Linked DNA regions of Styela clava. The main gene of each other region encodes a partner of the protein of the gene in region 2 in a complex. Links are inferred from orthologs where the notes say so. Each region holds a gene or a part of one and is shown on either strand. Other genes may lie near its edges.

Region 1 (11,351 bases), on a different chromosome or scaffold from region 2:
GTCTCGTGTGACCCTGGTAAAATGCTAATATTTTCAGACTTGCCCAATAGAAAATATCTCTATTCAAAGATTTACCTTATATCAACATACCATAATTTCGACTTCTGTAGAAAAGAAGATCATGGGTGATGCAACCAGGGTCAATGCACCAAGAGAGTACAAGAACATTTGGGCACCTGAAAAATAACACAATCATTTATTAGCAAAATAATATTCATCTCAATTTTGATTGAGACAATAAGTTGACTAGGCTAGCAGAAGACGTATGAATAAATGCCTAACTTGAAGCTATATTTTAAAATACAATTTTCTAAATAGTTTGAAAAGAGATCTTTACTAACGTTTTATTGTATTCCCAACATTTCCACCTACATACAATAATACTCCTTCTTCATATTCAGTTCCTAGTCGCTTTTCAATCGAATAACAAGTTGAAGACATACTCATGTTTCTCAAATTCGAAAGATATAAGGTGAGACATTTTTGTAATAAACAATTTCTCCCTTTATTGAAATTACTTAAATAAATGTTTGATCTGATGCTGGAAGTTTGATGACACTTAAAGCAGTTCATATGTATACTATTCTTCAACATAATCGAAGATGTAGTAGATCTTTGCTGAATTGGATGAAGTAACTGTCTGAGAATCATCTCTTCTATTTAAGTTAAAAATTTATAATGTTGTAGGACCTAGAAATGGACTATATACAAGATTAACAGGGTGCTATAGACAGGGGTCGGAACAAAATTAACTATACAAATATATTCATAAATAGTTGTAGTCAATATGGCTGATTCTTGGGTTGGTTTTGGACAACTAGATGGAAATTATTAAGTTCTGCTTAATGATGATAGTATTAGTAGATCAGTGAGTACAACATGCCTAAAAAATAGAGATTAGTGCGTCTTTCTTTTTTGAATGTGAACATTGGGCAATTTAATATATATTCATACTGCTGGCCGCACCTTTCTTTAACACTGGGTGGTAGTTGCACATATATAAAAATTTTGGTTATTGATCTTATAATATACGTTGTTCGCTTCACAACAAGCTAGCTGTTAGGGCATTGTAATGTCATAGGCATAGATAATAATTAGAGTATAGGCTTTGCAATGCAAAGGGATTGAATTTACTTGCATGTAGCAGATTAAACTAAATTAAAACTCGTTTCGTGGGTCACACATCATTCAAAATTTGCATTTCTGCAGGAGCCTCACAATTTTCCCTTGTGGGTTGCATTTGGTATAATTTTATCATTGGTTGCACTATATCATATTTTCTCTGTTTAACAAAATAAAAAAATCATATGTAACACATCACATGATTAAGTAGTTACAGATAATATTTGATAAAATGTCCATTGCATCAAGTATACTTAACTAGGTGATCTATGCATGCCATAAACACCCCTGATATGAAATTTTTTAAACCTCATTCACACATCTTTTTTGTTTAAAAATCATAACATGATTTCTAGGTGACTTTTTATCAGTGTGCTCCTTTCAAGATGTTGATAAAGAAATGCTGATACAGATCTGAAAAAGAAAATATATAAACATATTATACTGTATAATCAAAAGAATTGTCACGAGATGTACCCAATGAATGGAATAATTCACTTTAGTTTCACAAAAGTGTTGGAAAAAGTATCATTTGTTATATTAACAAAAAGGGAATGCCATGAATTTTCTGGACCATATTCGAGTAAATAATATATTCAGATGAGAAGACAGATTTGTTAAAAATTTTGGATAAAATATCAAGTTCGATATTGAAAAATAGCCATCTCTGATTACAACATCCTATTGTAATATTATTATTCACATACCGTAAGTTAAATAATACCATACATAATGAACACATTTTATTACATTTATGGTATTATCACTTGTTTTTCCATCTAGAACCTAATCATGCCTGGACATTTACTATAGTTTTTACTTATAGTCAATGCCCTGGTTGGTAATTGTGTCAATACTTGATTGATTAGCATTATCAATAGATTAAACTACAAAACTTACTTTATAAAAACAGCAAGGTAGATATCTAGCTATTGGCCTACATTCAACATGAATAAATAACTAAGACTATTTGACCTGATTCTATCTACTTGATCTAAACAATACAAAAGCATTTCATGATAGTATGTACATTGAAAAATACTGGTACTACTAGAAATATCAAGTACTGCTTGAAATTGTAAATTGCATCTAGATTTATTCAAATTTAAAATTCAGATATGATGTCACAATTTTAAATTAATATTATAATGTAAGTGATACCCATCATATTACTATTTTGGAATACTAGGTGTAATTTTCCTGTAGCCCTCAAATTTCATAGGGTGATAGACAATACGATAAGGAAATAAAAATCAGCAAGAGTGCTTCAAATCAGGGATGGCCAATACCGAATAGTTCACTATTTCAAAAATTTCAGGATATAAGTAATTTAGCATTATCAAAATAAAGTGTGCACCTTACATATTTGGCAAGTTATTGTGATCTAGTAATCATAAAAATGTATTGTTTAGTCAACACTAAGTAGAAAGCATAAACAGAGTAGCACAAACTGTACAGATAATATGCAATTATAAATTCACAACCTGCAAATAGTTTGTTTTTGTTCACATAGCAAAACAATCATTTTGACTGGTTTAACGCATGCTATTTGCACAAAATGAGGAACCCGATTAATTTAATTAATTAAGCATTTGGATCTGTATCCCAAAAGTAAGGACTTAAAATAGGGAATTGCAATAGCAACAGCCAAAATGACACAATCACATAGCATGTGGTTTGAAAAAAGACTACCATGAAACTGAGAGTCATCATCATTGAATACATCAATGACTACTTGAAATCTTCCTTTTCATGCACTTGGCTAAATTTAAATACATCAATTTACTAATTCACTTATCAATCAATTATTTAGGGATAGGATTTTATATTTATTCCGGGAGAGAGGAAATTAGATAAGAGGGCTCTCGTTCGGTTAACAGTCTATGTCGGGTTACTCGGGTATGATATTAGTTGGCCAGTTATTTGTTTCAGATACATGTCTTTGATTTGAAGTTGAGCCATGCCTATACTTTGCAACGTAGATAAACTTTGACCCTCCCTTGTGTCCATCTATTTGTTTCAGATACATGGCCTTGTTTGAAGTTGAGATATACCCATACTTTGCAACGTATATAAAATTTGAACCTCTCTTATTGATGGAAAAACGGATACCGAGCTTTAATTTAGTTTAATCAAAGGTTACCCTTTTCCTTTACCCTTTATAGCCATGCGATCATCTCTGTTATAATCACTTGGTGTGACACAAGCTTTAGGAACTTTTTCTAAAATGGAAGAAATTTCTTCTTTTTCGTTATAGTTTTTCCACAAATCATAAAGTTGTAATATAATTTTTGTAATTTCAATAATTTTTTCCATATCAACATTTAAATCTGCAAACCATTGTCTTGCAACCTCTAACTGACTCTGTATAACACATGCAATATGCAGGCATGCGAGAGCAATTTGAAAAGGTGGATATAACAATATGACATCCGTACGATATGTGTCGTTTACAATACGCCAAGCAACTGGTAACAATAAATCAGCGTGTCCAATGTCTGAAACATATTGTAATAATGGACGATATGGGTGATACACAATTAAACAACAATCCATTAATTCCAGGAGAAAAAATTCACATTCCCAAACACTGGTTATTCTGTAGTTATAATCCATTTGAAACGCATGGCCAAATTTATTTTTGATGACACTTCCGACTGCAGCAATAAGCCGTGAATTTGATACCACGCCACTCTCTTCCACCTTCGCAGCAAGAAAAATGCAAGTTGGAGCTAAAAGAAGTGGGTCACAGCTTCGTAATGGATGTCTGCAATAAAACCTTTTGAAATAAACAGTTGCCGTAGCAATAACTTGCTGGCGTAGCTTTAATTGTTCGCCAATTGCTTGGATTACATTGGCATAAAAAATCATCACTTTGTTATATTCAACTTCCGTTAAAACTTTGAAATCAGCTGCTCGTTCTCGAGTGAGATCTTGCGGCGTAAGTATCCATTGATTGCAATGAGAACTCTGCCAGAAGTTTCCAGCCATATCAGATTTAAAATAGGAGCTAGATGGTAATCTATAAAAAAAATGATAAATTTTTACAAGACACAATGATAGAAGCACAGAAAAATGCTACATAACAAATGGCAAGATTGGTTTGTAAATTGATGCATGAAAAAGTACGGTATAACTAATAGTACAAAGTTTAGGAGATATTTTGTATAACTATGTAAGCATTACAGATGAATAATCATAAACAAAAATTTTGGAATTCGAGGTTGTTATTTCAGAGATGGAGATCTGTAGCAATGAGACATATGGGCACTGTTATATTAAAAAATGTTCTGCAAAATATAACAGGTGTCATGATATGATGCAGTAATCACATTGGAATATTACGATACACATAATTGCATTAAAATTCATCAAAAATGGAAGAAAATCAAAATATAATAAAAAATTCTATTCATCATGTCCGTGATGTGACACGTTAGTGTGAGCAACTAAGTGTTCAGGAATAATTGCACCGATTCTTGAATAATAACGATTTCTCAAACCAAATGCAGTCATTGGTTTAATTCTTGGTTGCATATCAACAGAAGCATTTGCAATTTCTTCTGCTGCTTCTTCGAGAGCACGTTTTGCATTTTGTTCTTTGGCAGAAGCATTCAGGCCACTTTCACGACCAAAATCAATGATGTACAAAAGCAAAGCAGATATTAAAGCAACACTGATACACATACAAAAAAATATCTCTAACATGAAATATCCTTTACTGTCGAGAATACTACCAGCGGCAAGCGATATGACAGCCAAACCCAAGTTTTGTATTGATTGCATAAAGCCATAGGCTGTGGCAAGTTGATGCTCAGGTACTAAAAATGCTACAAGTGGCCACAGTGCACATGCTAACACAGAATATGCAAATCCCATCAACGTCATGGCAAACCATGGATTGATAAAGGTAAATGCTAATAAACCATGACTTGCAAGAGTTAAAACAACAGCAAATAAAATCCAGAACAAATTACGACCAACCCGATCAATAATAAAGCCTAGGACCGGTGAACAAGGTGCGGACATGATATATACAATACTATTCACTGCGCTTGCGCTCGATGAAGAAAATCCAAACTTTTCTTGAAAAAACGTTTTTCCTAAACCTATAAAAGGAAATACTGCTACATAATAAGCCACACAGATGGCAAATACAAGCCATAACTGAATTGAAAAGTCTTTAACATCCGTTAGTTTAACAGCTTCTTCAGCTTCATTCTTTTTACGATTCAATATTTTTTCAGCACGTTTGTCTAAATACGCCAAACTAATTGCACATGTCAACGAGAACAAACAAGTCAGAGCAGCAATAAATAGAGAAACACCCAAGGTTTTATTGTGGTCCTTCATTTTTTCATTAACCATATCATAAATTGGTACCATAAGGTTCATATTCACGGTGCTTCCAATCCGAGCCATGCTGAGTTGTAAACCAAACACTAAGTTTAATTCCTTTCCTTTAAACCAGAGAACAGCATATGTATTTTGGGCGACAGCTAATGATTCTCCACCAATACCAAATATGAAACGTCCTAGGTCCATCAACCATATTTTGTGTACCAGTGCTCCAGTAGCAAAAATTAATTGCCCAATAACAACCAGCATGCTAAAAATGAGGCTGCCAAGGCGAACACCAAAAACCCTATCTAGGAGAAATCCTCCAAAAAAACAGAGGACAACATTTGGCCATGAATACCAAGCATAAAGCGACATAAAAGTGCTTTCACTTACATCCAAATCATTCACAATTTCATCATGTAATGCAGCAGGATTGTCGTAGCAGAAATAACTTCCAAAACTTAGAAAACACATCAAAGCAATAATGATAAGACGATGGCTCAAACTACGAGGATTTCCAACTTCACATGGTTTTACTTTAACTGGTGCAGCAGATGAACGTCTTCGAACAAGTGGATCAGTTTCCATAATGATAATACCGGTAGGTTAGGTCTTAAATTTCAGAAAGTTTTGTATTATTTAATCTAAAAAGTAAAAATACCTTAATATATTGATGTAGAGCTTTATACTGTTATAGCTTATGACTATCGCTTTGGAAATCTTTCAGCATTTGTATGCATATCCAGATATAGGATAGGATTTACATATTTCTCCTGGGGGAGAGGAAAGTTGATAAGATGACTTAACCATATGGCGAACCACTGCCTCTCGTCCGTTTACAATTTCATGTCGGTTGGGTATGGGATTAGTTATTTTTTTCCGGTAGCATGGACTTGATGGTGGGGGAAGCCGTAACAGACCAGCGGTTACGTGATCTACCCTACGACAGCGAGGAGTTCAGCGATTCACTCGCATGGGATTCGAACCTGCAAACCCACGCAGAGTAATCAGATGCGGTGGATCATAGAGCGTATTCCTAACGCTTGGCACGGCGAGCCACACCGGTGTATTTCAATAATAAAGTAGGGCCTAGTACATCTAAGATAGCAAAGAATGATGCTTTGCCAAAGATTGTTTGAATGCTATAAGCGACGAACCTATGACAGTGTGACCTAATACAGTGATGTCAATCCCAAAATTTGTGTTCTTCTGAGTTTACACGGAAATAGTAGGGCCTAGGTTAGTACTGTAGTATCTTTTTTTTTTGTGCCAAATAAATTCCAATGGCAAAGGGAATTTTCATATTGATATTTTGGAATCGAATCATTTTATTTTAAAAACACAGTCCTTTGTTTCCATGTTTTTTATTTTAAATTTAAAATGCTAAACACCGATACTCTGGGGCTGTATTTTGTGAAAAAAAATATTGCTGATGTTGTCGCAGTCAATAGCCCAAATCCAAATTAGTATCAATGTAACAGTTACAATGCAAAATGATTTAATGATCACTAATATCAATAATTTCAAAAATTATGCGGCTCTCACATATTTCTGACTCGCTGCATGCGGCTTTTATACTAAAAAATGTTGCCCACCCCTTCTCCATATAGACTACCGGTACCGGTACTAATTAATTCAGTTTTTAAAACCGTGTTCCCATAACAGCATAAGGCAGTAAGGTAAAAAATAATACAGCGAAATTTTGGATGAAATGCATTTGGTCCAGTAAGTAAAGAGAAAGGTGATTTTTTCATAACGATAGGAAGAAAAATTCTAATGCCAAGAAGAAGAGCAACAATAAGAACAACAACATAATAACAAAACGATCCATAGGTCCACTCCGTGTCTGATAACTACTGAACTACGACAATTCAGAATGACACTCTCGTTCTACTGCAAATCATTAATTTCCTGTTCATCGACTGTTACTAATTCTGTTAATTCGGATGAGTTCTGATTCCGAACCATTTCCTATATTTTCATTTTACACGCAAATCTGATGTAATCAGAGTGATAACAAGAGAAGGTAAATCCTTTTTTTTTTTTTTTTGTGCCAAATAAATTCCAATGCCAAACGGAATTTTCGTATTAATATTTTGGTATCAAATCATTTTATTATAAATATATAAATAGATATTTTTTTGTTTCCATGTTTTTGTTTATCATTTTTTAATTTAATCCCATTCCCCCCAATACATATGAATATGAACATGAATATGAACATATGAAGAGAAGGTAAATCCGTTGTCGTAGATTGCGCAAAAACAAACTGGTCGGCCCATAAATAAACGCTCTACTGCCGCAGATGACACTGGTACGGCCAGAACAATTTTCGCATCATCTTTTAGCGGTAGAAACATGTGTCTATTCTTCCAATAATCTTATATAAAAATGAGTGTCTCATGAGAAATACAAAGTGTGTTGTCTCATCCCATGGGACGTTTCCCATTCCATGGATAAGCCTGGTAAGCTAAAATGGACCACAATTAACCCTTTCATTCATGACTTTTTCGCTTACAACAAGGAAATTATTTTTGTATTGAAATGAAGTATTTACAATGCCAATAGCACAGAGGCGTAGCCAGCATATTTTGCGCCCGGGGCAAAATATAAAATTGGCGCCCCGACCCCCACGTTTAATCATGTTTCTATTGCATTTAATTTTATATGTAAAAACAAATTATATATCGTCACGCTAACAACCGAATTGCGTAAGTCATTTTTAGCTGTTTTGAGAAAAACGTAAAAAAAACTTCCTAATGATATTGCTATGCCATTAATTTGCCATAGTTCAACTTTTTGATCGTAGCCGGATTTAAGTTAATTTGTATGACGCAGTCATGTGACGTCATAATGGCGCACTGTGACTTAGGCAAAAGTGTGTCTATGACTAGGGGACATACGCAATTTTGCAACTTGACTATATGTACCAGTCCTGAAAACCAAACAATCCAAAATCCCCAAAATAGCTAATCTGTTTCAATTACATTATTTTTTATGTTTAAAAATATTTATTTCATCAATATAACACGCTCTGCACATCACCGAAATAAGACTAAAGTTAAATATAAAGAATAAAACAGCAATGTACCCTTATATAAAAGTCAACCAAGGTGAATTGGACTCAGACAGTGAATATCACAAGTGCACGCCTTTCTATACAGTAGTATAAAATCAAAATTATTGGAGCTAAGCTAGAATCTGAGATGCAAAAATTCGAAAATCCTTCGCCGAGGTTATTTTGCCTTTGTGACGTCACAATAGTCCTACGTTAACAAAGATAATTCATTATGACGGAGCAATTGAACAAATTTGCATATTATACAAAATCTCTATTTTTATGGGTTTCGGAATTCTTAAAATAAAATCTGAGTTAACAGACAGGTGCGCAGCATTATATAAATACCTATTTTATGAAAAACTCAAAACCGCCAAAAATGACTTACGCAATTCGGTTATTACCGTGACGATATGTGAATTCAAATTTATATGTATTTATATATTTTATTATTTATTCAAAAATATATGTATATGTAAATTCAAATTTTAATGGAACATTTTATTTAAAGAAGAAGCAAAGCTATACAAAATAGAGCATATGTCCCACTCAGTTACTGTCAAAGATGATTTGCATAGTCTACAATAAATTCATTTTTTTCAATTTCACTGTCGTAAACTGGTTAACACGTCATCAAAATCTGTTTCTCTTTCAACACTTAGAAGTGCAAGATCACTGAGACGATCCTGTCCCGTTGATGCACGCGAATACGACAAAATAAGTTTCAATTTGCTGAAAGACCGTTCACAGCTTGCAATTGAAACTGGTATTGTTAACAAAAATTGTAGAGAAATTCGCAGATTGGGTAAAACGTCGTCTCCAGAAGACACAATAAAACCAACAAGAGCCAAAGGAGTTTCTGGTTGACCTACAGTTCTGTTACTGAGCAGCATTCTGCAATCTCCAATTTCGGTGAAAAGTTCGCGGCCATTGATGTCCGTATCGTAGAAATTTGCAAAATCTGTGCAATCTCGACGAATTGTCGAAAACAGCATTGGGGTCTTTTAGCACAGTATAATATATTTTATGTAACTCTGCCGCAAAGTACGGTATTTTGACAACAACGAAATACAAAACCACGTATTACTCAAAACATGTATTAACATCAGTCAACCAAATTTCGTTTCCATTTGTCTCCACCACAGGACTAATATCAACTTACATCGGAGTGCGCAGGCAAGAACCTAACGATCTTGCTTGTGACCGTTTTTTTACCCTTGTGAAATGTTTGCAAGCCCCATTTTGGCGCCCCTGTACCTTGGCGCCCGGGGGCATATGTACCCCACTGCCCCCCCTAAGCTACGCCTCTGCAATAGCATAAAGGATAGGATAGGATTTACATATTTATCCCGGGGGGGGAGGAAAGCCGATAAGACCATCCATATGGCGAACCACGGCCTCTCGTCCGGTTACCATTCCAAGTCGGGTATTGGAATAGTTTTACTGTATTGTTTGTTTTCGGAAGCATGGACTTGGTGGTGGAGGAAGCCGTAACCGACCAGCGGTTACGTGAACCACCCAACGACGGCGAGGAGTCTAGCAATCCTCTCGCACATAACCATCCCTGCATGGGATTCGAACCTGCGAACCCACGCAGAGTAATTAGAGGTGCGGTGGCGAGCGTATTCCTAACGCTTAGCCCGTTAAGCCACATCGCCGCGCCTGTATACTGAAACAAACCAACAGACAAATATCTATTAACAGACTTACCGATCTTAAGATCGATAAGTAACTAGAAATATTGCTCAATAGCATTACCATTTAGCCGCCGAGATTTCGTTTAAGAATTCCTACTTAAAACCCAATATATTTCAGCTCAAACAGATTACGGGATGGGAACGGTTAAATAATTATGGCATTAACGAGCTCAAAGGTGTCGCAGTAAATTTTGTGATATGGTAAAGTAATGTAACTCTATACCAGTGGTTCCCAACCTTTTAAGGCTCCTGACCCACTTCCGGGGGATTTTGCAATAAGAGACGCAAATGAAAACAAATACCTGGCTAGCTAATCTCGACATAGAATGGTTCTATTACTGATCTGATGCACAAACGTGACACTGTCAAATGATGATTTGTGTGTAATTTCTTTTCAGAAAAAATGAAAGATAACCCATTATCAGCTGATTATGTCCCATCAATATTTGAATTTTCGCCACTCCTAGAGAGGAAAAGAATAGTTAGAAAAAGGTGGATTTTGAGGAAAGGCAAAAGGCAGGACCATTTCAACAAATTCTGTTAACTTGTATGCGTTGCAATTTCACTTTGCAGTTGTTTAATGTGTCTTTTGACTAGACCTACCACACTTTAAAAGAAGCCGCCTAAACCCATTTTCACTAGAAGAACCATAACACTGTAAAATACTTGATAGAAATTACCCCTCAAGGCATCATATCTTTCATTTGAAAGGGCTGTGGAGGCAGATACATTTTTTACTCTAAATTATGGAATGTTACTTCCAGGTTATTTTATCCTTGCTTATAGATATCTTGATGTTAGTGACTCCAACTGACCCATGTATGCCCCACTGAAAATTCCCACGTGTACCGATAAAATTAAGCAGTTGGAGCCTTCGTTCAGATCTTGAAAACAGTCAAATCTGAGCACGATGGATTCATGTGAAACACGTAATATGCATTTATAAGCAAATATATCCCATCCTGAGCAGCACCGACCCACAACCTCCTGCCTATGGAATCAAAACATTAGACAAATTGGTGTACTGTGCGCATTCACAAATCTTTGCGAATCAAGTGTGCCTTTTGACTAAGAAAAATTTAGCATTGAAATGGTCAACCTCAATATAAACCTGGTATCTGCAGATAAAACCA
Region 2 (11,258 bases):
GACAAGATTGCCAACTACTTGGGAGGTGATCCAAATACATGGATGGGAGCTTTGCAGACCTTGTATCAATTGGTTAAAAAATATGAGTACAAGAAACGAGAAGAGAGGGTACCATTATTGGAAGCAATGAAAATATTTCTACCCGCTCTGGGACAACTTTTTCAGCATGCACTCAATGATGGGTCTGCTCAGTCTGTGCTTATTCAAAAGCAGTGTTTGAAAGTGATTTACGCTCTTACACAGTATTCTCTGCCTCTCAAATTGATTGAAGGTGCAGTTTTGGATACCTGGATGAAATACATTCAAATTGTGATTGAAGAGGCACCACCTGAAGAAACTCTACAAGTGGATGAATTAGAGAGACCCGATTTACCATGGTGGAAATGTAAAAAGTGGGCTCTGCATATTTTAACCAGAGTTTTTGAAAGATATGGTAGTCCTGGGACTGTTAGTCAAGAATATAATCAATTTTCTGAATTTTTCTTGCGAAGGTACGCTGTCGGAGCAACTCATGTTCTTCTGAAAGTATTGGGTGATTACAGCAAGGGAAAATATGTATCACCTCGCGTCTTACAACAGACAATGCAATTTTTGGAACAAGGAGTTAGCCATTCTCAAACTTGGAAAGTCATGAAAGGAGTTTATGACGAAGTTTTGAAAGATGTAATATTTCCTCTGATGTGTTTCTCAGAAAAAGACGAAGAATTGTGGAGCGATGACCCACATGAGTTTGTTCGTGAAAGATTTGATTTCAAGGAAGATTTCTTTTCTCCATCGAGTGCAGCTCAGTGTTTCTTGCAGTCCGCTTGTACTAAAAGAAAGCAAGTTGTGCAAAAAACAATGGGTTTTTGTCATAAAGTTCTGGTTGCCAATGAAACAAAAACGGAACCTCGTCGCAAGGAAGGAGCTTTGCATATTATTGGATCTTTATCATCAACCCTAAGAAAAAGAAAAGTATACAAAAGTCAACTAGAAAGCATGCTTTTTACCCATGTTATTCCAGAATACAAGAGTACACTTGGATACATGAGAGCAAGAGCCGTATGGGTCACTCAGCATTTCAGCCGAATCACATTCAAAAAGGATTCGAATATATTTGCAGTGGCTGATGGAATACGTACACTTCTTATTGATGACCCTGAACTTCCAGTTCGAGTTGAGGCTGCTTTTGCTCTTCAGACTCTACTGTTGCACAAGGAAAAAGCTGAGAAGCGTTGTGAACCTTATATCAATGTCATGATTCAGAGTTTACTTCAACTTGTGCATGAAACAGAGAATGATGAGTTGACTTCAGTTGTGCATAAAATTATTTGTCTTTATTGCGAGCAAGTGATACCATATGCAGTAGACATAACACAGAGTTTGGTGATGACGTTTTTCAAACTATTAACGGATGAAAATGGACAAATCAATGGTACTGGAGATGATGACGATGAGGCATCTGACAACAGATCAGTGGCTGCTATGGGAGTGTTAAGTACAATTGAAACAGTTTTGGATACAATGGAGGAACAAAGAGATATTACAGTACAATTAGAAAGTATTGTTGTTCCTGTGGTTGCCCATGTTTTGAAGAATAGAATTATGGATTTTTATGAAGAAATCTTATCGTTAATGTATTCTTTAACTTGCCAAGCAATTTCACCACAAATGTGGGAGGCATTGCCATTGATTAAAGTTATTTTCGACGATGACGGCTTTGATTATTTCTCCGAAATGATGCCTGTCGTGCACAACTTTTGCACTGTTGATACAGATGTATTTTTGTCAAACACAAAAAATATGGAAACAGTATTTGAAATGTGCAAAAAAATTCTTGAAGAACAAAATGGAGAAGATGCAGAAAGTCATGCTGTAAAACTTCTGGAAGTAATCATTTTGCAATGCCATGGAAAAATTGACCAGTGCATCCCTTCATTTGTTCAGCTTGCTCTTGAAAGACTCACCAAAGAAGTGAAAACAAGTGAACTTCGAACCATGTGCCTTCAAGTTGTAATTGCTGCCCTTTATTACAATCCCACCTTACTTTTTCAAACATTGGAAAGCATGCAGTTCCCAAACACAACGGAAACTGTTACTGAGCAATTTTTTCGCCAGTGGCTTAAAGATGCAGATTGCTTTCTCGGAATTCATGATAGACGGATATCTGTACTTGGCCTATGTACTGTGATTGATTCTGCGGAACGACCAAAAATCATATCTGAACTTGCACCAGACATTTTACCTTCTTTAATCTTAATGTTGCAAGGACTGACTCAAGCTTACAGAAGTAGAGGGGAAGAGAACAGCAGTGAAAGCTCGAATTCTGATGAGGAAGAAGATGAGAGTGATCATGAACGTGAGGAGCTTGAATCAAGCGAGGATGAGGTTGATGAAGAGTCTGCTGAATACTTAGAAATGCTGGAGAAGAGTTCTTTAAATGGTATTGATGGCGACAGTGATATCAGTGATGGAGAGACGCCGCTTGAAATTTACGCATCTTCTTTTGATGATGAAGATAATGTTGGCAGTGAATATTTCATTTTCAAGCAAGTCTTAAAACAATTGGAATTAAATAACAATGGATGGTATAATCAGCTTGTTTCTGGTTTGACTGACGATCAAAGGAAGAACCTTCAGGAAGTTTTCACAACTGCGGACCAGCGGCAAGCAGAGGCAGAGTCTAAAAAAATCGAAAAGACTGGAGGTTATCAATTTAACACCACTAATGTGCCAACTACTTTCAATTTTTCTGCATCTGGTCCACCACCAGCATTCTCTCCTTAATACGTACAAAGTCAACATTGTTTTGAGCATGTATTTAGCATTGAGAATGGTGCAATTTCTGTAAACTATTCTGGTTCATTTGTAATTAAATTAGGTGCTTACACAGGTGATATACTGGATCACTTGTCAGGGGTGTTGGAACTCGAATTATTTGTGATTTCGAACGAATTCTGTATTATTTTTTACCGTTTCAATAATTGAATATGTTTAGCATTGAGCCATGTAAAATAGAAAAATTTGCGCAATTTAGTTTGTTAATTTGACAATTAATTTTTTCCTCACTGGATGTCGATTGCTGGATATATCGATTTTTAAACTGAAATATTTTTTATTTTTTTTAAAAGTTATTTGTTGAAAATAACTAGTTTCTCAAGTTTTATTCATTCTTGACAGGTGGCTTGAACTTTCACCCCCAGAATGTATATTATATTTGTTAGGTAGAAAACGAATCCCTGTCCCCACATACTCTTGTTAAAATTGTTTTTCTTTTGGTTTGTTTCACCTATTAAACTTTACTGCCCAACTCCATAATACTGTTTCAGTAATATCGTTAACTTTAGATTGTACATGACCTTATGAGTTCGCATTTTATTAACAGTTGTGTTTTTAGTGAAGTTGAAAATAAAAAAAAAACATCTTAGTTATATGGGGATAGGTTGTTTGGAACAGTATTGTAAAGTTGCATGCTGGCATTTTTCCATTTAGTACTGGAAATGTGGGGAGTGAAGATTAAAGTGTCATTCTATGTGTGGTGAGACAAGATTTGTGGATACATACTTGTTGAGAATACGTTTGTCATTCTTCAGTCATACATTGCATTTCCAAAAATAGAGGATTTTGATGCGCTGCCAGGTTTTCGCACACCTTGCTCATTCACACTTCTGTTTCCACATCGACGACTGGTCATTGTGCATATGGGATATTTGCCGTGAAAGTTCGCGACCCTCAACAAGAAATCCGGAACTGCCTAGCTACTGGTGACTCTTCTACGGCCCTGGTCCGGGGCCACGGCCCATCTGATTTGGCCACATGGGCCGTGGCCCATCAAGCTATGGGCCGCGACCCCGTAAGGAAAAAATTCAATTATCTTACCAAAATTTTCAATTTTTACGAAATTGTCATTATTTGAACCGAAAAAATCGCGGGATGCCACCAAATTTTTTTCTTACGATAAGCCTTCATATAAAAATAAAGCAAAATACCAAGCAACAGAAAAGGATACTCCTGTAGTATGTGTACCAGGTTAGGGTTATGACCAAATTTTGTTCAGATTTTTCACATTATAGTTCTATTATGAGTTCGGGGACTGACTGTGTTAGCCAAGTGAATAGTCCCTTCACACAGTATGTTCCCCAGCTTTTCATTTTAGGGGGGGGGGGGGGTTATTTCGAAAACAGGGGGGTGGTAAATTATTTGCTATTAGCGATAAAACTATTTGTATTCTTGAAAAATTGGTATGTATTTAAGAAATGATGTACACGAGGGGGTCCCCCAAGTTGATTGACAGCGAGCCAAAATACCCACGGAATAAAATTGTAAGGCCCGAAAAAGGGAGCAAGGAAAAGTGCGCGACGATACGGCTTGGGTTCGGGGCGCTTAGGCACAATGAATTAAATTTTGAAATACGCGCGTCAACTGATCATAATGGCGCATAATGTTGTATTCCTTCAGAACTGAAATATTTTGTTGGCAAGGAAGACAAATCGCTGAAGTTTGATTCTTTTCAATAAGGAAATGAAAACGCTGGCATCCACATGAAAAACGTCTGTTTTCAGTGCCTAGTTTTCGTTTTGTGACATCTTTAAACTTTCTTAATATACGGCTGATATCTAAAATACTGCAGTGGGTAATCCCAATACCCATACTTATACATAAGATATCGGTATAATTCAATTGTTACGAAATAAACGTGCTTAAACTGTGATAATGATGTAACGATAGACGATATCTAAAACTCAAAAGGTATCACGTGAAGTGTTAAAACTATTTCACTCAAGTTCGACGGGCCATTTTAAATCGTTACGCGAGCCGTAATTGGCCCGCACACTGCGGGTTGGAACCCCTCATCTACACTGATGAATATGTCATAGTCGTTATGTTTGAATACAGGAGTTAGGAACTTGAGTTAGGAATTACAGTGTTGAATCGCACCTCAAAATTAGGGGGGGGGGGATCACTCCCTTTACACAACTTGAAGGGCCATGAGCCTTAGAGGAATCACCACTCCCACTCCCAACTAGCCCCGAGTGAATTCGAGGGGAGGCGTAGAACAGGGAAAAAGCCAATTTATTCGGCCGTGAACAACTTCAAGCTTGCCGATTTGCGTGAGGTTATGAATACACTCGTCATGGCTATGTGGGTTTTTATGTTCGAAATCGAATGCTGTGGGAGATAATGATGTGCGAAAGAATTGTTTCGTAGTTCATATAACCGGTCCAAGTCCATGCTATAGTATCTATTGGCGATAGAGCTCAAAATTGACATATTTCGTCAATCTTTTTTGTTTTCTCTCATAGAATCAATCGTTTCTCTTGAATTTTGGTTCCCAAATTGTGTTGTATTTATTTATGTCAATATACTTTCGTAAATATTTGACGTCATCTGCTGCTGGAAAATGGTGTCGTTGACCGATGACTTTGATAGTCTTTTCGCGACACCTTGTCCATTGCAGTTGAAACATTGAAACCCATTGATGTTTGTTGCACGACGAAAATAAATATCTCAATCTAACCAGATATTTCATCTTCGTCATGAATTAAACATTTACGATTAAACATTTGAAACAAAATAGTTGAGACCGAAATATGTCTTAAAGTGGGATATATTCAAGATGAAGATTGCACGGGTGCATATATGCTTATGAGGGCTAATTTTTGTAGACTCAAGGTTACATGATTCCAGTTACTCTTATGATAAAGATTTGACTATCTAAATCCCAGAAAAGAGATGTCTGTTTTCCCTTTTAATCACACTGCCAGTCTAGTTTCACTTTGCGATTACCAGTCCAAATATGTCATGGGAATAGTTGTTCAGTTAATTTTTTCAAATGCCCGGGCTGACGCAGATGGAAACGTGATCGACAAGTATCTAAGTGGGACAGGGACGTCCTTCCATACAATGTAGCCCAAGTTAAATCAATTGGTAAACATATCATGTAAAGATGAAAAGCTTGTTCCCAACGCTTAGCACGATACGCCAACCTACCTTAGAGAGATACACGTATCTAATTTAATTACAAGGCAAAATCATAATGCTTCATTTCGTACCGTATATGTATGTATATATGCTCATTGGTACGCTGAAGCATTATCGTGTGCGGTAGAAGACGTGACGTCACACCGACATGATATTGGAAGTATGTAGGAATTAGAAAATCAGCCAAGCCAACTGAAATATCTCGGTGTCGCGGGAATCTGGCTTCTGTGACTTGTTTCTGTGTCGCATATTTTTAACAGAAGATAATTTTGATGAATAATTCCGTAATTGGACCATAGTAGGCAGAACTTTGTAAACTTTAATAAGCCCAGCTTGCTGTACGGTACTGCATTACAACAGTCAGACAGTAGATCTGTTTAATAGTTTTGTTATGGATTATGAGTTCAAACAAATGCTGGCGACCAAGAGGCGAAAAGTGGAAGATCTTTTTGAATATGAAGGCTGTAAGGTGGGACGTGGAACTTATGGCCATGTTTATAAAGCTATAAAGAAGGATTCCTCGGACAAAAATGAATATGCTTTGAAATTGATTGAAGGCACTGGGATTTCAATGTCTGCTTGCAGAGAAATTGCAGTAAGTATTTATCATACTGTCATATCAACAATTCATGGATTTTTTTTTATTTAAAATGATTCCTACTTTATTATAATTTGCAGCTTCTGAGAGAATTGAAGCATCAGAATGTCATATCATTGAGAGCAGTTTATTTATCACATTCTGACAGAAAAGTTTGGCTACAAGTTGACTATTCGGAACATGATCTATGGGTAAAGTGTTATTAATATAACAGATAGTTACATGTAAATAAAATTCATAGTAGTGTCTTGATAGAGCGTGATATTCAAAATACTCCACTACATTCATTTTTATTTTCTATTATCCCTAAAATGTCACAAAAAGTTGAAAAAAGATATTTATCCTAAATTTGCCGCAAAATAACTTCTGCATTAATTATAAAAAAATTTCTGATTTTTAGAAAACGGTTCGAATACATTAGATCATTTTTCTTTCTCAAAATTTATCTGTGATTTTTAACCATTTATTAATTTTCAGCATATAATCAAATATCATCGAGCTTCCAAGTCTAACAAGAAACCTGGCACAAACATTCCAGCACACACTGTCAAGTCATTACTTTATCAAATTCTAGATGGAATACATTACTTACATTCAAACTGGGTTTTGCACAGAGATTTAAAACCTGCAAACATACTAGTTATGGGAGAAGGACCAGAAAGAGGAAGGGTGAGGCTGAATTTTTGTATCAAAAACAATACAGTACGGCACACTATACAAATAGGGTGACATTGTCCTGTTTCAGAGAAACCCATTTTACAGGTGATCAGACTCTCCTCCTTTGGGAGACGTCTGGACATTGTTGTCCCTCAATATTGGTAATAATACAGTATAATGGAGTTGCGCAAAATACTACAAGAAAGCACAATCTAGTAACGTCATCATTGAATTCATTGGGAAAAAATAATCCGATTTACCGCAGGAAATTTTTTTTTTGTAGTATTTAAGAGTTGTTAGCAAAAAACGGCAATTTTAGTCATGTGACGGCCGCGATTAATTTAAATTATTATTGAGACAAGCATGGCGCGATATGAAGCATTTGACGTGGTCCCAGACACCCCTCGTTTGTGAGACACATAGAGTGTTTGTTTTATTGAGCCAAATGGAGGAATATTCTTGGAATTTGGATAGTGTGCTGCTGTACTGCAATAGAACTGTTGCTATTTTTACAGCATGAAGTTTTCCCAATTTAAAAAATATAAAATTTGGGAACTCAGTTTTTGACATGTTTTATTTTCCATGCCACACATTTCGCTCCAAATGAAGTTCCTCACAAGCAGCTACCACTAGATAAGGAGTTGCTATAGTTTGGAAGATTTGGAATCTTTCCTGTTTGGCAAGAAATTGACCAAGGTAGTGGGCAAAGGATTTGAACCAAATCTTAACCTGCGATCATAGTTGAGTCTATTGCTTATTAAACACTAGGCCACTGTCCCCACAAATGCACATGCTGTAAAAGTTACTTATTTGACTCCACAGTTTTGAAAACTTTGATTCTGAAATAATGAATCTTATTGACATGATCTGTAGATGCAATTGAATCACAAAATCAGTTTCTTTATTTTGTCCCTTCTGCTGTTAATATACTGAAGTTTTTAATATTGTTTTTGAATTATATTATCATTATCACCCCATTTTATTCTGCCACAAGTCACAACAATTAAGATAGTGAATATTCTTATTTGAGTTTGTGGAATTTTCTTCAGGAATACTTTAATAAATAATATAATGGTAAATCTTTTTCATTTTTCACAGGTAAAAATAGCAGACATGGGATTTGCAAGACTCTTCAACTCACCACTCAAACCTCTTGCTGATCTCGATCCAGTTGTCGTAACTTTCTGGTACAGAGCTCCAGAGTTACTTCTTGGAGCAAGACATTACACAAAGGCAATTGGTGAGTTCATATCATCCCCAAATTCAAAATGCCATATATTCACTCCTGACTTGTAGTATATTTAGAACGAGATCAAGTTCCTTAGGAATTCTCACAACTAAGTTTAAAAATCCCTGTTGTTAATTACTCGCTATTGTATAGCATTATTTCACAGTTAAACCAATTTGCATTCTTAGTTATCAGAACAATAATTCAGCATTAATTACTTTGTGCAGACATCTGGGCAATCGGATGTATATTTGCTGAACTTCTCACATCGGAACCAATATTTCATTGTAGACAAGAAGACATAAAGACATCAAATCCATATCATCAAGATCAATTAAGCAGGTTTCTACATTTTTATAATAATTTAAAATTATCCCACCATCTTTTTATTCGACCTTTTTTTTCATTTTTATGTTATGATTATACTTGCAAATGAACTAGTGAGCTATCTGAGTAGATTTCACAGGTATTAATTTTGTTTGGGGTAAGATGTGAATAGGTGATTCTGCGCGAGTGTGTGTACCAATATGGAGGTAACTAATTTTGTGCGGCTATTTTACATCAAGCTGTGTGAAGGTACTGAAGCCTATGGGCTGGGGGTATATTCACTTGGCTAACACAGACAGTCCCCGAACTCGTAATAAATAAGGAAAATCCGGAAAAATGACCTAACGCTAACCTGGTTCACATACTGCGGGAGTACTGGTGATTCACACAACTTCTGGCAGGTTACATCTTCCGCCACCATCAAAGACCTCTGGAATGATTAATTGGTTATCTATGCTTGACCTGGGCTTTATGATGACAGCTTTTCTCTGTCTGGGGCAAGTATGCAAGATACTAGCCTGAAATCATAATCATTTGTAAAACATGTCCAGAAGACTTGCATTCACTATATTACAACTGATTGCAGTGACACTAGTGAATGATCTTAACAATAAATATGTGGGTGTTAATAATGTAACATAACCATGCCTATGTAAGTGGAAAGTGTGAATGACAGCTTAAAACTATCAAATATTCAGTTAATTCATAAACTCTTTTCACTTTTGCTTCTGTGTGTTGGTAAGGATATGTCAGTTTTATTTTGGAAAGAGTATATTTCTGATCTTTCGCACTCTCTTTACTGGCTGAGTTTATCTCATATTTACATTGTATTACTATTTTACAGGATTTTTAGCGTTATGGGATATCCACTCGAAAAAGATTGGGAAAGCATCAGAATTATGCCAGAATATTCAGCATTCCAAAAAGATTTCCGCAAACAAAACTATGCAACAGCTTCTCTTGCCAAATATATGGATAAACACAAAATCAAACCTGATACAAAAGCATTTGCACTGGTATTGATAGATTTTGCTCTTCGTCTTTCCTCTAAGGAGCATTTCATTGTTATTTGCCATAAATGTATTGTAGTATGAATGTGTGTGTTACCATATATGGATTTTTATCACTGTATTTGAAAAAGGGATGTCTGAAATGTTTGGTATTCTGAAATTTTAATATCCAATCAAAGTTTGTACCATATATTCCATGAAAACAAAATTGATTATGAAGAGAAATTTTAAACACCTAGTTAAACCTATATAAAACATACGGTAAATTTCCAAGTTTGCAAGGGTTTTGTATTATTCAAACTTTGCCGCTTTTTTCTTCTCAGTTATCCAAGCTTTTAATCATGGATCCACAGAGAAGAATAACATCAGATATGGCTAAAGTTGATCCATACTTCAATGAAGAACCTATTCCTAATAAAGAGTTAGTATTTCTGAATAATCTTATATGTTCAATATTTGTGTCAACATTTAATTCCATTACTAGGAACACCTTGACATTTGTTACAAATACCTAATGTGTTAAAATTATTATTTTTGAGCATAATATGTTGGTTTAAAATTAAAAAAAGGGGTATACCATACATTTCACCAGTATGGATTTTACATCAAAATTTATTTAATAGTTTTATTATCATTTGGGGAACAAATCGCTATTACGTGGGTAATAACCATCAACATTACAGTATTATTGGGTTGTAACTAACTCCATTTAAAAAAAAAATTGAACTCATGCTATTCTCACACAGTGTGTTTGGCGCCGGCCCTATTCCTTATCCAAGAAGAGAATTCATAAATGATGAAGAAATTGAAGACAAAAATGAAAAAAATTTGAAGGTCAGTTATAAATGAGAATATTGTGATCATCAGTGAAACAAAATCATTAGCTTTTTGACTTAGCTAGCCATGGTATCATATCATGTTGCAGTTTATAAATATCAGTATTGATTCTGTTATATCTCATCATACACATCGGGCAAGATTATTGTCAAGTTGGTCTTCTGTTGGTAATTTTCTATACGGCCTACAATAATCCCCTTCTATTATGAAACTGAAGCATGAAGTTGCATGAGTATTTATTTAGTTTGAAATTTTATTTATAGGCTTTATGGCCATCTGAGAGACCTGTTAAAGTTAGGACGGCCTAGTTGTAATTTCAATGCTTCTGTAGTCAATTTTCACCCATCCCTGTTGACACCAAATAGCAACATGAATACATCAATTTAAATATAATTAGGTAGTATTAGCAATAATATCATGGTTTGCCACACTTGCATTGAATTGATACATTGTAAAATTCAATGCAGTTAACAATCATGCATATCCATGGGTTATAATTAGGGCTGGGAATGGTTAATGGTTATGACTTATTTTAACCGTTAACTGACATGTCAGGTACAAATCATCTTTATAATGTTGTATTTTTTTTAAAAAAAATGATTACGTCATCGCAAATTTATCTCCTGTGGCGTTTAGTTCA

The links. Proteins that work in one complex are often made in the same cells at the same time.
Region 1: cyclin-dependent kinase 8-like (region 2) and cyclin-C-like share a complex: the UniProt entries of both Caenorhabditis elegans proteins name them as parts of the mediator complex. The link is inferred for Styela clava from reciprocal best matches to the Caenorhabditis elegans genes cdk-8 and cic-1.

Annotation. Positions count from the first base shown.
Region 1 is NC_135255.1:10,306,458-10,317,808, reverse strand, and holds cyclin-C-like, read right to left. Parts: upstream 4,145-11,351; 5' UTR 4,114-4,144; coding exon 3,262-4,113; 3' UTR 2,116-3,261; downstream 1-2,115. Other genes in the region: transmembrane protein 70, mitochondrial-like, read right to left, coding at 91-176, 342-651; lysosomal dipeptide transporter MFSD1-like, read right to left, coding at 4,531-6,051. UniProt on the Caenorhabditis elegans protein: Component of the Mediator complex, a coactivator involved in regulated gene transcription of nearly all RNA polymerase II-dependent genes.
Region 2 is NC_135252.1:15,841,487-15,852,744, reverse strand, and holds the start of cyclin-dependent kinase 8-like, read left to right. Parts: upstream 1-6,091; 5' UTR 6,092-6,352; coding exon 6,353-6,556; intron 6,557-6,639; coding exon 6,640-6,750; intron 6,751-7,036; coding exon 7,037-7,228; intron 7,229-8,314; coding exon 8,315-8,456; intron 8,457-8,671; coding exon 8,672-8,786; intron 8,787-9,615; coding exon 9,616-9,787; intron 9,788-10,104; coding exon 10,105-10,202; intron 10,203-10,527; coding exon 10,528-10,615; intron 10,616-11,258. Other genes in the region: importin-7-like, read left to right, coding at 1-2,766. UniProt on the Caenorhabditis elegans protein: Component of the Mediator complex, a coactivator involved in regulated gene transcription of nearly all RNA polymerase II-dependent genes.